3 linked regions of the Macaca fascicularis genome follow. The protein of the gene in region 1 interacts with the protein of each later gene in a biochemical or structural test. Links are inferred from orthologs where the notes say so. Each region holds a gene or a part of one and is shown on either strand. Other genes may lie near its edges.

The links.
Region 2: the proteins of MSN (region 1) and SPN form a complex in vitro, tested with the Homo sapiens proteins (2 studies listed by BioGRID). The link is inferred for Macaca fascicularis from reciprocal best matches to the Homo sapiens genes MSN and SPN.
Region 3: the proteins of MSN (region 1) and ICAM3 form a complex in vitro, tested with the Homo sapiens proteins (2 studies listed by BioGRID). The link is inferred for Macaca fascicularis from reciprocal best matches to the Homo sapiens genes MSN and ICAM3.

Annotation. Positions count from the first base shown.
Region 1 is NC_088395.1:72,033,122-72,036,636, reverse strand, and holds part of MSN (moesin), read right to left. Parts: intron 2,417-3,515; coding exon 2,286-2,416; intron 2,034-2,285; coding exon 1,873-2,033; intron 660-1,872; coding exon 567-659; intron 215-566; coding exon 1-214. UniProt on the Homo sapiens protein: Ezrin-radixin-moesin (ERM) family protein that connects the actin cytoskeleton to the plasma membrane and thereby regulates the structure and function of specific domains of the cell cortex.
Region 2 is NC_088394.1:28,449,354-28,453,503, forward strand, and holds SPN (leukosialin), read right to left. Parts: upstream 2,801-4,150; 5' UTR 2,683-2,800; intron 2,516-2,682; exon of another isoform or gene 2,446-2,515; intron 2,067-2,445; 5' UTR 2,039-2,066; coding exon 713-2,038; 3' UTR 117-712; downstream 1-116. UniProt on the Homo sapiens protein: Predominant cell surface sialoprotein of leukocytes which regulates multiple T-cell functions, including T-cell activation, proliferation, differentiation, trafficking and migration.
Region 3 is NC_088393.1:10,897,876-10,902,162, reverse strand, and holds the start of ICAM3 (intercellular adhesion molecule 3), read left to right. Parts: upstream 1-1,486; 5' UTR 1,487-1,542; coding exon 1,543-1,618; intron 1,619-2,221; coding exon 2,222-2,488; intron 2,489-4,287. UniProt on the Homo sapiens protein: ICAM proteins are ligands for the leukocyte adhesion protein LFA-1 (integrin alpha-L/beta-2). ICAM3 is also a ligand for integrin alpha-D/beta-2. In association with integrin alpha-L/beta-2, contributes to apoptotic neutrophil phagocytosis by macrophages.

The sequences.
Region 1 (3,515 bases):
TCTGCACACGCTCATTCTTCTCCGCCTCAGTGGTACGTTCCTCCTCACTGCGGTCCTTGGCCATAGCATCAGCCCGTAGGTCAGCACTAGCTTCTGCCCCATTCTCATCCTGCTCATCCTGCTCATTCTCAGCAGGCTCAGCCACATGAGGTGTACTCATGGCAGTCTTCAGCTCAGCACGGGTCTTCTCCAAGTCTTCCTGTACCATCTGGGCCTGTACAGCGACAGAAGGAGAGAAAGACTTTCAGTGAGACCAGTTAAACTGTGGCATCCTGTATATGCCTAGAATGGTCTGGCAAGAGGCAGGTACCAGGTAGGACAAGACACTTCATCTGCCTGATCCTTAGTTTCTTCAGCCATAAAACAAGAGCAATTGTACCAACTTCCTAAAGGTATTGAAGAACTCCAGTAAGTATTTGAGGAAACTATGAGTACCTTCTCCCATGATGCCTGCTGTAGGAAGTATGAAAGAGGGAGGGAGCCAAAACATAAGGAATCTAAGGAGCTGTAACCTATGCATATGGTACCCATTCCCTCAATGCTTTGTTTTACGCCCTGTGTCTTACCTTCTGCTGCCACTCCACAGCCTCACTCTCCTTCTTCTGTCGGGCCATCTCCAGCTGGGAGATTCGAGCTGTCAGCTCTGCCATTTCCAAGGCCTACGGAAAAATTGGAAGCCTGTGAGAGGTGGGCCTTCTGGTCCTCAGGACCCAGGTGTCTTCAACCCAAGTTCCCCTTGGGGACTAGTAAGGGACCTACTGCTCCACTTGCTTGCTGCCTCAGAGACTCTTTTACCACACCACTTCATTCCAGTCCCATCTTTCCTGACCACCACTTCAAGTCAGAGTTCCCCCACCTAGACTGTAGGCCTCCTGAAGACAAACAATATGCCATCTCTGTCCCTTCCTCATTATCTCTCCCCATGCCCCTCTTGGCAAGTATGCAGCTGGGGCCTCAGTAAAGCTTTGGCCATCACTGGGTCACTTCCTGAAGTGGCAGATCCTTTCCTGATATCCTAGAATGCTCAGGATTCCACTAAGACTCTTCCCAGGACAAGTACAGGAAAGACACTCAAGTGTCACAAGGTGATCTGAACAAGGAAAAAAGCTTATGCACACCTTGGGTAAATCTCCCATGACAGCTTCCTCATGAGAGACAGGTCTTGGTTCCCTATATTCCCACCTCCAACAGTAGAGGGGAAGAGTATATGTCAAGGAGTTTGGACCACAGGTTCTTTACTTCTGTGTCACAGAACCCTTGGAAACTGTGATGAAAGTATTGATGCCAAACTGTGATGAAAGTATTGATGAAAGTATTGATGAAAGTATTGATCCCAAAATGCATAGACACAGTTGCATGTGATTTCAGGGAGCAAAGCTTTCAAACAGAGGCAGAAATGGGTTCTAATCCTTATTTAGCCACAACTGTGTGACCTTTGGTGAATCTCTTCTCTGAGCTCTAATTTCCTTATCTGGGCATATTATCTCATATGAGGTTAATCCCATAGGGTTACTGGGAAGAAGAAATAAGTAAGGAAAAGGGAAATATTTCCAACACAGCAACATACAGCAGGAACTCAAGTATGAGTTCCTTTTGTTCCTTTCTCCTTCCCTTTTCTTTGCCAGGCCAATCAGCTCAGATACCCAAGGGTAAAGAAAATGAACAGAAACTAAGGGTTAGGGAAGATTGCAAAAATTCCTGGGCCACACTAGTGACTTCTCAGCTTGCTTCTGAACTAGTTATTTGCTGGAGGCCCATGGAGTGGTAGCCTGCTCTAAAGAGCCAGCATGTAAGCAAAAGTATCTATAAGTAAGTAGGCAGACAAGGAAGAAAGCTCAGTTCCCAAAACCCCAGTCCATCCTACAGCTTTACCAGCTGTTCCTGAGTCTTTTTCTGGTCCCGGGAGGCCTGCAGCAAGGCCTCCTTGGCCTCTTCAGCTTCTTGACGCTCCTTGGCAAGCTTTTCAGCCTCGCTCTGGGCACGCTTCCGTTCCTGCTCAAGTTCCAGAGCCCTACGGGTCTGTTCTTCCAGTTCTGGGCATAAAAGGAGGGGAGAAGGCAGTGAAGAGCACAGAGATAAAGATGACACACTAGCTTCCTTCCTGGAAATGATCCACCCCAGGACAAAGCTGGCAGAAAGTTCTGAGTTCTCTTCTTGCCCATTCTTTTTCTAGTCTGTAGCCACACCTGAACTATATTGTCTGTGTGTACAGCTCAGGAAGAAGGTTCTCCAGCTCAGAGTCAGGTCTGGAAAAACCCAATCTCCAAGGTGACTCCAAGCCTCACCTTGCTGAGCCTTCTTAGTCTGTTCCTCAATCTGCTTCAGCCTCTCCATCAGCTCCTCCTTCTCCCGTTCAATCTTCTCTTTCTCTTTTTCTGCCATTTCACGCTTCTTCTTCTCATTTTCCAGCATAGCACTAGGGAAGGAGATAAAATGGATAGAACAGGATAGTAAAGCTCCATAAAAGCCTGGGGAGGCCAGGCATGGTGGCTCACGCCTATAATCCCAGCACTTTGGGAGGCCGAGGCGGGCAGATCATGAGGTCAGGAAATCGAGACCATCCTGGCAAACACGATGAAACCCTGTCTTTACTAAAAATACAAAAAATTAGCTGGGCGTAGTGGCATGCGCCCGTAGCCCTAGCTATTCGGGAGGCTGAGGCAGGAGAATCGCTTGAACCTGGGAGGCGGAGGTTGCAGTGAGCTGAGATTGCACCACTGCACTCCGGCGTGGACAACAGAACAAGACTCCATTTTCAAAAAAAAAAAAAAAAAAAAAAAAAAGCCTGGGGAATTGCAAGGCTTGCTGCCTCTGGGTCTCTCAACCCAACCTTCTCAACACACTCAGGGATTGTGAGTTTGGGCCACCCTCCCTTACCTCTATACCTTTGTCCTCATATCACAGCCCCACATAGGCCAGTGTACACGGGGCCCTGTCAATGTGCCCCTGAGTCAGGAATCCTAGCTCTCCCACCAACCCACTGGGTGACCTTAGCTATGTCACTGCTTTGCTCTTGTTCCCCTATCTTGAAAATGGTCCAATAAGACCTGCCCTATATACCTTGTAGGGAGACAAGTTTTGGCTCTCTGCTGGGATGAAGTGCTTCAAGTCCAGTAATCTCTATGGCTAGTGCATCAGTCCTCAGGTCCAAATCTGTCTGCCCTAAAGCCCAGCTCTAGGCTTCTTTTTCCCAGAGTTTGTTACAAATCTGGAATAGGTATTTGCTTTTTCTTGCCCTAGCACCTCTTCCAGGAACCTTCTTATCTCCCTTGGCTAGGTATTCTCCATCTGAGCCCTCAGAATACTTGGCTTACCCTTCTCCCCACCCCTCTTCTATGTTTTTTTCTCCATAGCAATTCTTAACCATCTTATGTACCACATAATTTGCTTATTTATTATGTTTGTCTCCTCCCCACTAGAATGCTAGCTTCACAAAAGCAGAGATTTTTGGTCTTTTCTTATTCATTGCTCAATAAATATTTATTAAGTGAATGAATGGCATGGCGTTTGTACCT
Region 2 (4,150 bases), on another chromosome or scaffold:
GTGGGGGAAAAGGAGAATTCTCAAAGAAATCACAGGTCAGATAAATTTGGCTGATGGAGACTCAGCAGCCGTTTCCAAGAACAAGAAAGAGGGGGAAATCCTGATGGAGATAAATAGGGGTGGATGAAGAGGGTTTATTAATTCAGTCCACAGACGTTGAGAGGTGCCGGCCTTGCCCTGCCCAGGTGCTGGTTGCAGGTGCTGGGTGAGGATGCCAGCAGGAAATCCAGGGCTGAGAGGCCTGATGAGGATTCAGAGTGAAGAGGCGGGTGAGGAGGTAAGGCACGGTGGCTCACGTCTGTAATCCCAGCACTTTGGGAGGCCGAGGCAGGTGGATCACCTGAGGTCAGGAGTTTGAGACCATCCTGGCCAACATGGTGAAACCCCGTCTCTACCAAAAATACAAAAAAGCAGCTGGGCGTGGTGGTGGGCGCCTGTAATCTCAGTTACTCGGGAGGCTGAGGCAGGAGAATCTCTTGAACTTAGGAGGCAGATGTTGCAGTGAGCTGAGATCATGCCATGGCACTCCAGCCTGGGCAACAAAGCGAAACTCTGCCTCAGAAAAAAAAAAAAAAGAGAGAGAGAGAGAGATTCAGGTGAGGATCAGGATGCCAGGTGGAAATGTGGGAGTGAGGGGGCAGTGTGATGGTGAGAGGGAAGGTGCTGGAGGCTGGCTGAGATTCCGGCCTCCAGCCTTACTATTCGCCAGCACTTAAGGGGCAGCCCTGTCTCCCGCTTCAGGCTCATCAGGAGCGGGGGCATCCAGAGCCCCATCCTCGCTGGCCACCAGCGGCTCCTCCTCCCCTTTGAGGTTGGAGCCTGACCCAGACTTCAGCTCCTCCATTGCCAGGGAGCCCTGGCGAGACTTCCGTCTGCCAAAGAAAGTGGTGAGCGTGGGCCGCCGGCCAGACCCCTCCCCGTCGGGGACCCCAGAGCCCTTGTCGCCCCCGGACCCTCCCACGGTCACTGTCACGGCCCCCTCCTCAGGGACCTGGGCTGGCCCAGCCCAGGCGTCCACCACCCCGTTACGCTTGCCGCCTCTGCTCAACACCAGGGCCCCTGTCCGCCGTTTCTGCCGCCGGCGCCACAGCAGGAGCAGAGCCACGAGGACTATGACCACCAGCAGGGCCACAAGCACGGCCACTGGCAGCATGCCTCCTGAGTTCTCATCTGGGTTCCGAAAGGGCACAGTGCTTGCATTGGTGGAGGTCGTTGGAGTCATCATCGTGGATAGTTTTACACTAGAGACCTGGGGTCCACTGGCCCCACTGGAGGGCTCCAGAGAGCCAGTTGTCATGGTAACAGAGGGTCCAGTGTTCACATTGGAGGGCTCCAGAGAGCCAGTTGTCATGGTAACAGGGGGTCCAGTGGTCCCAGTGGAGGTCTCCAGAGAGCCAGCTGCTATGGTAACAGGGGGTCCAGTGGTCCCAGTGGAGGTCTCCAGAGAGCCAGCTGCTATGGTAACAGGGGGTCCAGAGGTGCCATTGGAGGTCTCCAGAGAGATAGTTGCCATGGTAAGAGGGGGTCCAGAGGTGCCTTTGGAGGTCTCCTGAGAGCTAGCTGCCACGGTAACAGGGGCTCCACTGGTCCTACTGGAGGTTTCTGGAGAGTTCGTTGTCATGGTTCCACCTGTCATGGTGTGGGATCCTAGAGAGTTTGCTGTTATGGGAACAGCAGGATGACTGGTTGCATGAGGGTTTTCCTGGGGCATTGATGACATCTCGAAGGAAACATTCTGTAAGGTTGTTGGCTCAGGTAAGGGGGAACCAGTGCTGGCACCAAGGGAAGTCCCAAGAGGGGATCCCTCATTGACAGAAGTTGAGGGAGGTAGGGCTGAGGTCTGGTCCCCAGTGCCGTCGGCCTTAGGGTCACTTGTTATTGAAGCGGTGTACATCTCTGAGTCGATGCTCAGGTATTTGCTAGTAGAGACCAAAGGACCAGAAGTCTCTCCGGGCACGGGTGTCTGCACAGCTGTCGTGTCCCCCAGAGCCTCTGGACTTACCACAAGCACCCCAAGGAGGAGGAGAAGCACGGCCATTTCCAGGCAAACAGGCAGGAGCTGGGACCTGCAGGTGGGCAGCCGGAGAAGCAGAACACGCGGGAGTTGCCGGAGGATCTGGCCGGGCCTCCCCTCTGCCCACTTCCCTACCAACGGCCAGGCCCAACCTGCGGTTTAACGGTTTTTTCCATCCTGGCTTTTACTGTTATCAGAAATGACAGAGGAACAGATGCTGGCAGCTCCCCCATCAGCCCCATCCCAAGGCTCCCTCCAGCCTCGGCAGCTCAGATTCCAGCAGTGGCCACCCTCTCCTGGCCCTCCCTGACCCTGTGCAGCCCAGTGGCTCCAAATCTCTTCCCATCATCACCTGTCAGAGTCTTTTCAAGCCACAGGCACATTTCCAGGCCCACTGAGGCCCCTACCCCACCAAGTCTCAACCCTCTTACCGGCTCAGCTGATAAGGACGCAGCGCTGGGGCCAGGTCACTCCACCACCTCCCGAGGCTGGGGCAAGACTGGGGAGGACAGGGCCCCAAGGGGAAAGGAAGTGGGCCCTGGCTCCACCCACCCCACCCACCCCTCCATCCTGCCCCACCCGCCCTGCTCCCACAGCTGCTGGGCGAAGACAGCACCATGACCTGCTCCTTCAGGGGCCAGTGGGGTGTCTGGGGGTCTGGGGCTCACCTGAGGCAGGCAGGGAAGTGCGGGATCTGGAATCTGGATTACTGGCTCTTGGCTGAGGAATGGGATGGAAGGGGTGATGCTAGGGATGGCTGGACTCAGAGGTGGGTGGTGGGAATATGAGCCTGAGAACTCAAGGGTGTAGAGGAGGAGGTGGGAGGGGAGGGTGGTTTCCTTTGCATTTGTGGTCCCCAAGCTGTTAGGCCAGGAGCTGAGTGGTGCCATTTCCTGCTCTCAGAGCTCCCAGGAAGTAGCAGGGCAAGAGGAAGCCCCCGAGTCTGGCTGGGGGCCGTGAAAACCTTTGCAAGCTGGTGAGCTCTTGACTCCCTCACGGGGAGCTGGGGGTCACCCCAGTGGCCCCTAGTCAGGGAGGCTTGGCTAAACCAAGGTGGTTCCTACACACTGCATATGCTCGGATCTTATTTCAGCAAACTAGTAAAGATATGGGAATCTTTTTATTTTTTATTTTATTTTATTTATTTATTTATTTTGAAGTGGAGTTTAGTGCAATGGCATGATCTTGGCTCACCGCAACCTCTGCCTCCCAGGTTCAAGCAATTCTCCTGCCTCAGCCTCCCAAGTAGCTGGGATTACAGGCATGCGCCACTGTGCCCAGCTAATTTTGTATTTTTAGTAGAGACGGGGTTTCTCCATGTTGGTCAGGCTGGTCTGGAACTCCTGACCTCAGGTGATCCACCCACCTCAGCCTCCCAAAGCGCTGGGATTACAGGCGTGAGCCACCGCGCCCGGCCAGATGTGGGACTCTATATGGAAAAGTGTCTGGAAAGATATCCACTAAGGGATTCACCTAATTGTCTTTGGATAGGTGAGAGTAGGAGGCCGAGGCATTTTCTTCTTTGAATGGTTCCCATTTCCTGACTTTCCTCTAATTAGCAAGCTTTGACTTTTGGTTTGTGTATGTCTTTGGTTTTGTTCTTTAAAAACGAAAATCAGTCCCGGGCGTGGTGATACATTATGCCTGTAGTCCCACCGAGGCGGAAGGATCCCCTAAGCCCAGGAGTTTGAAACCAGCCTGGGCACCACAGCAGAAACCCTGTCACTAAAAATAAAATGCATAAGTTTTTAAAATCAAAACTGATTTGTATATTTTAAGAGCAACATGTGCACAATAGAAGATTCTAACAGGTCCTTGGGACTGTGCCCTTTCCACAAGCTGATGAGTTTGTCTGACCCAAAGACATGAGACTCCAGGGTGAGAGCCGCAGGAATTAATTGCTCACACCAAGCAACAGCAGCCTGATGTTTGCGTCAGTTCCCCTTACCCCAAGTCCCACAGAGGCAACATGGAAGGACCCAAACTGACACCGCGCACATAGTGGGCCTATATCGCAGCCACAGAGCTCTGAGCTTGAGAGATTCCCCTCCTCTAGGGCCCCTGGTAAGCCCAGTGTCCCACAGGGAGACACGTCTTCATCCCTCAGGGGTGCTCACTGCAAACACAGCACTGGGA
Region 3 (4,287 bases), on another chromosome or scaffold:
CACAATCTCAGCTCACTGCAGCTTTGATCTCCCAGGCTCAAGCGATCCTCTCACCTCAGCCTTCCAAGGAGCTGGGACTACAGGCACCAGGTCCATGCTACTGGGCCCTGCTATTTACAAATACACTAGACTTGGGTTTTAGCTGCTCTCTCAACACTAGATGGGAAATGAATTGTTCGGAAGGCAGAGGAATAGAGGAGGGACCTGATTAGGAAGGTGGGGGTGCTCCAGATGAGAGAGGAGGTGCTGTGACCTCAAGGTCTGGGAAAAGTGGGTGAATGCAGGGCTCCATCAAGGCCCTCAACAAGGTCCCTCTCTGGTGCTCAGATGTTAGGCCCAGAAGACAGGTCAGAGGCCTGAGGTCAGCGGCAGGTCAAAGGTGGGAGTCCCCCCTGGTCCCCTTGGTGCCTTCCCTTGGAATGAAGTGACCAGCTGCCTGGAAAGGTGGGCAAGGGGGCAACAGGATGAGGTAAAGGCCAGTTACAAGTAGAATCCTGGAAGGTCGGGTGAGGTGGCTTATGCCTGTAATCCCAGCACTTTGGGAGGCCAAGGCAGGCGACTCACTTGAGGTCAGAAGTTTGAGACCAGCTTGGCCAACATGGTGAAACCCCATCTCTTACCAAAAAGTACAAAAATTAGCCGGGCATGATGGCACATGCCTGTAATCCCAGCTACTCGGGAGGCTGAGGCAGGAGAATTGTTTGAACCAGGGAGGCAGAGGCTGCAGTGAGCCGAGATCCCACTACTGCACTCCAGCCTGGGCAACAGAGTGAGACCCTGTTTCAAAACAAAACAAAAGCCAAATCGAATCCTGGAAAGACAGTGGCTCAGGGACTCAGCTGTCCCCAAATCACCTACCTTAGCTCTTCGTGCATGGGAGGGGGGATCCCCAAAATCTTCAAAGATAGGGAGATGTCCTCAAGATCTTCAAAGGTGGCCAGGCGTTGTGGCTCACGCCTGTAACCGCAACACTTTGGGAGGTCAGGATGGGAGGAGGCCATCTCAAGGCCAGGAGCTCAAGACCAGTCGGGGCAACATAGCAAGACTCTGCTTCTGGTTTTTTTGTTTGTTTGTTTGTTTGTTTTATGTTTCCTTGAAATCCCACCTTAGCATCTAAACAGTGGTGCCTACAGGTTTCCCCCATTAACTTCCTCTCTGGGAACAGAATATTCCCCTCCCCACCTAAGTTCAGCCGGAAGGAGATGCCTCATACCCCCACACCCAGGCTTCCCAGTGCTGAGAACAAAGGAAGCCAGTTCAGTTAGCATTTCCTGGCTAGGAACTGGGGGCCAGCAGTGCAACTGAGACCAGCCCTGTCCCTGGGGGAGACTCAGCAGTGCTGGCCACTTTGCAGAGCCCCATCTGGGTCCCCCATTCTAGCCCCCCAGGGCCATAGCATCCCCTTCTCCCCACAGGCCTGGGTAAGGTGCAATCCCCAGACTTCTGCAATCTTAACCGCTGTGCTTCCGTCTCAGTGGGAGGCCCCGCCTTTCCCCCTGCCTGCCCTTGGGGCACCTCAGGAAGGCCCCTTCTTCTGTCAGAATGGCCACCATAGTACCATCCGTATCGTGGCCCGGGGCCTGCTGGACTCTGCTGGTCTGCTGTCTGCTGACCCCAGGTGAGGCTGGTCAAGCCCAGGAGGGCTGGAGAGGGCTGGGTTTTGGGGCTCAGTAGAAGGTGGAGGAAGAGAATGCAACACTCTTTGCATCCTGCCACACTGCGACCTGGCTGCTGACCCCGTATCCTCGGGAGAAAGTTCTGGTTCCTTAGTTCTGCCTTCAGGTGGTCAGGCCCCAGCATACGGCTTCTACGCCATCCCTCTTCCCCAACACACACACACACACACACACACACACCCCTCACGCTTCCTGCTCCATCTGAACTCCTGAAATTTGCCCTTTGCGTATGTGGTTCCCTCTGCCAGGATCAGCTGTCCCTTTCACTTGCTAACTCTTACTTAGCTTTCAGTTTCAGGCTGGCATGGTCCCCTCCTCCAGGAAGCCTTCCCTGACTCACCTCCTCCTATGCTGGATCAGAGTCTCTTCTGGCCTCCTTCTGAGTTCTCCCTGGTCCCTGATGGATTCTGCCTTTCCCACTGGACCATGAGGGCGGGAACCCTTCTATCTCGGCACAAGGAAAGAGGTGTTAAATGGTGGGGCCTGCTGATACACGGGTTGGGGGGCAACAAAACGAACACCAGGATTTCTTCATGTTCCTGAAGGTGCCCAGGGGCAGGAGTTCCTGCTGCGGGTGGAGCCCCAGAACCCTGTGTTTCCTGCTGGAGGGTCCCTGTTGGTGAACTGCAGTACTGATTGCCCCAGCTCTAAGAAAATCATCTTGGAGACGTCCCTATCAAAGGAGCTGGTGGACAATGGCACGGGCTGGGCAGCCTTCCAGCTCAGCAACGTGACTGGCAACAGTCGGATCCTCTGTTCAGGGTACTGCAATGGCTCCCAGATAACAGCCTTCTCTGACATCACCGTGTACAGTGAGTCGATGTGTCCGGAGGTGGGACTGGTGTTGGGTAGTGGTGTGGGCAGGTGGCCGATGGCTCAGGAGAATGGAGACCCTCAGTTTGCAAAGAATGGACCAGGGTTCTGACCCAGAGCTCAGACCTGGATATTTGTGTGTGTGAGATACAAAGACAAGGCCGGGCGCGGTGGCTCACGCCTGTAATCCCAGCACTTTGGGAGGCCGAGACGGGCGGATCACAAGGTCAGGAGATCGAGACCATCCTGGCTAACACGGTGAAACCCTGTCTCTACTAAAAATACAAAAAACTAGCCGGGCGAGGTGGCGGCGCCTGTAGTCCCAGCTACTCGGGAGGCTGAGGCCGGAGAATGGCGGGAACCCGGGAGGCGGAGCTTGCAGTGAGCTGAGATCCGGCCACTGCACTCCAGCCTGGACGACACAGCGAGACTCCGTCTCAAAAAAAAAAAAAAAACAAAAAAAAAAACAAAAAAAAAAAACAAAAAAAAAAAAAACAAAGACATAGAGACACATCTCAATCTCATGCCAAGGCAGCAGTTGTGAAATCAATTAACTTGGGCCCCAACCAGCATTTTTTTTTTTTTTTTTTTTTTTTTGAGACAGAGTTTCGCTGTTTTTGCCCAGGCTGGAGTGCAGTGGCACAATCTCGGCTCACTGCAACCTTCGCCTCCTGGGTTCAAGTGATTCTCCTGCCTCGGCCTCCCGAGTGGCTGGGATTACACATGCACGCCACCACACCCGGGTAATTTTGTATTTTTAGTAGAGATGGCATTTCTTTTTCTTTTTTTTTTGAGACGGAGTCTGGCTCTGTCCAGCCCAGGCTGGAGTGCAGTGGCCGGATCTCAGCTCACTGCAAGCTCCGCCTCCCGGGCTTACGCCATTCTCCTGCCTCAGCCTCCCGAGTAGCTGGGACTACAGGCGCCCGCCACCTCGCCCGGCTAGTTTTTTGTATTTTTTTTAGTAGAGACGGGGTTTCAACGTGTTAGCCAGGATGGTCTTGATCTCCTGACCTCGTGATCCGCCCATCTTGGCCTCCCAAAGTGCGGGGATTACAGGCTTGAGCCACTGCGCCCGCCTGAGATGGCATTTCATCATGTTGGCCAGTCTGGTCTTGAACTCCTCACCTCAGGTAATCCGCCTGCTTTGGTCTCCCGAAGTGCTGGGATTACAGGCATGAGCCACTGCACCCTGCCCCAACAAGTTTTTTTTTTTTTTTTGAGATGAAGTCTGTTGTTCTGTAGCCCAGACTGGAGTGCAGCGGTGCCATCTTGGCTCACCACGACCTCTGCCTCCCGGGTCCCAGTTCAAGCATTCTCCTGCCTCAGCCTCCCAAGTAGCTGGGATTATAGGCATGCGCCAGCATGCCCAGCTAATTTTTGTATTTTTTGTAGAGATGGGGTTTCACCATGTTAGCCAGGCTGGTCTTTAACTCCTGACCTCGTGATCTGTCCACCTTGGCCTCTCGAAATGCTGGGATTACAGGTGTGAGCCACCTTGCCTGACCCCAACAATAATCTCAACACTTTGGGAGGCCAAGGCAGGAAGATTGCTTGAGCCCAGAAATTTAAGACCAGGCTGAGCAACATAGGGACACCTTGTCTCCACAAAAATAAATAAAAAATATTAGCTGGGGCCGGGCGTGGTGGCTCACACCTGTAATCCCAGCACTTTGGGAGGCCGAGGTGGGCGGACCACGAGGTCAGAAGATCGAGACCATCCTGGCAAATGCCGTGAAACCCCATCTCTACTGAAAATACAAAAAAATTAGCCGGGTGTGGTGGTGGGCACCTGTAGTCC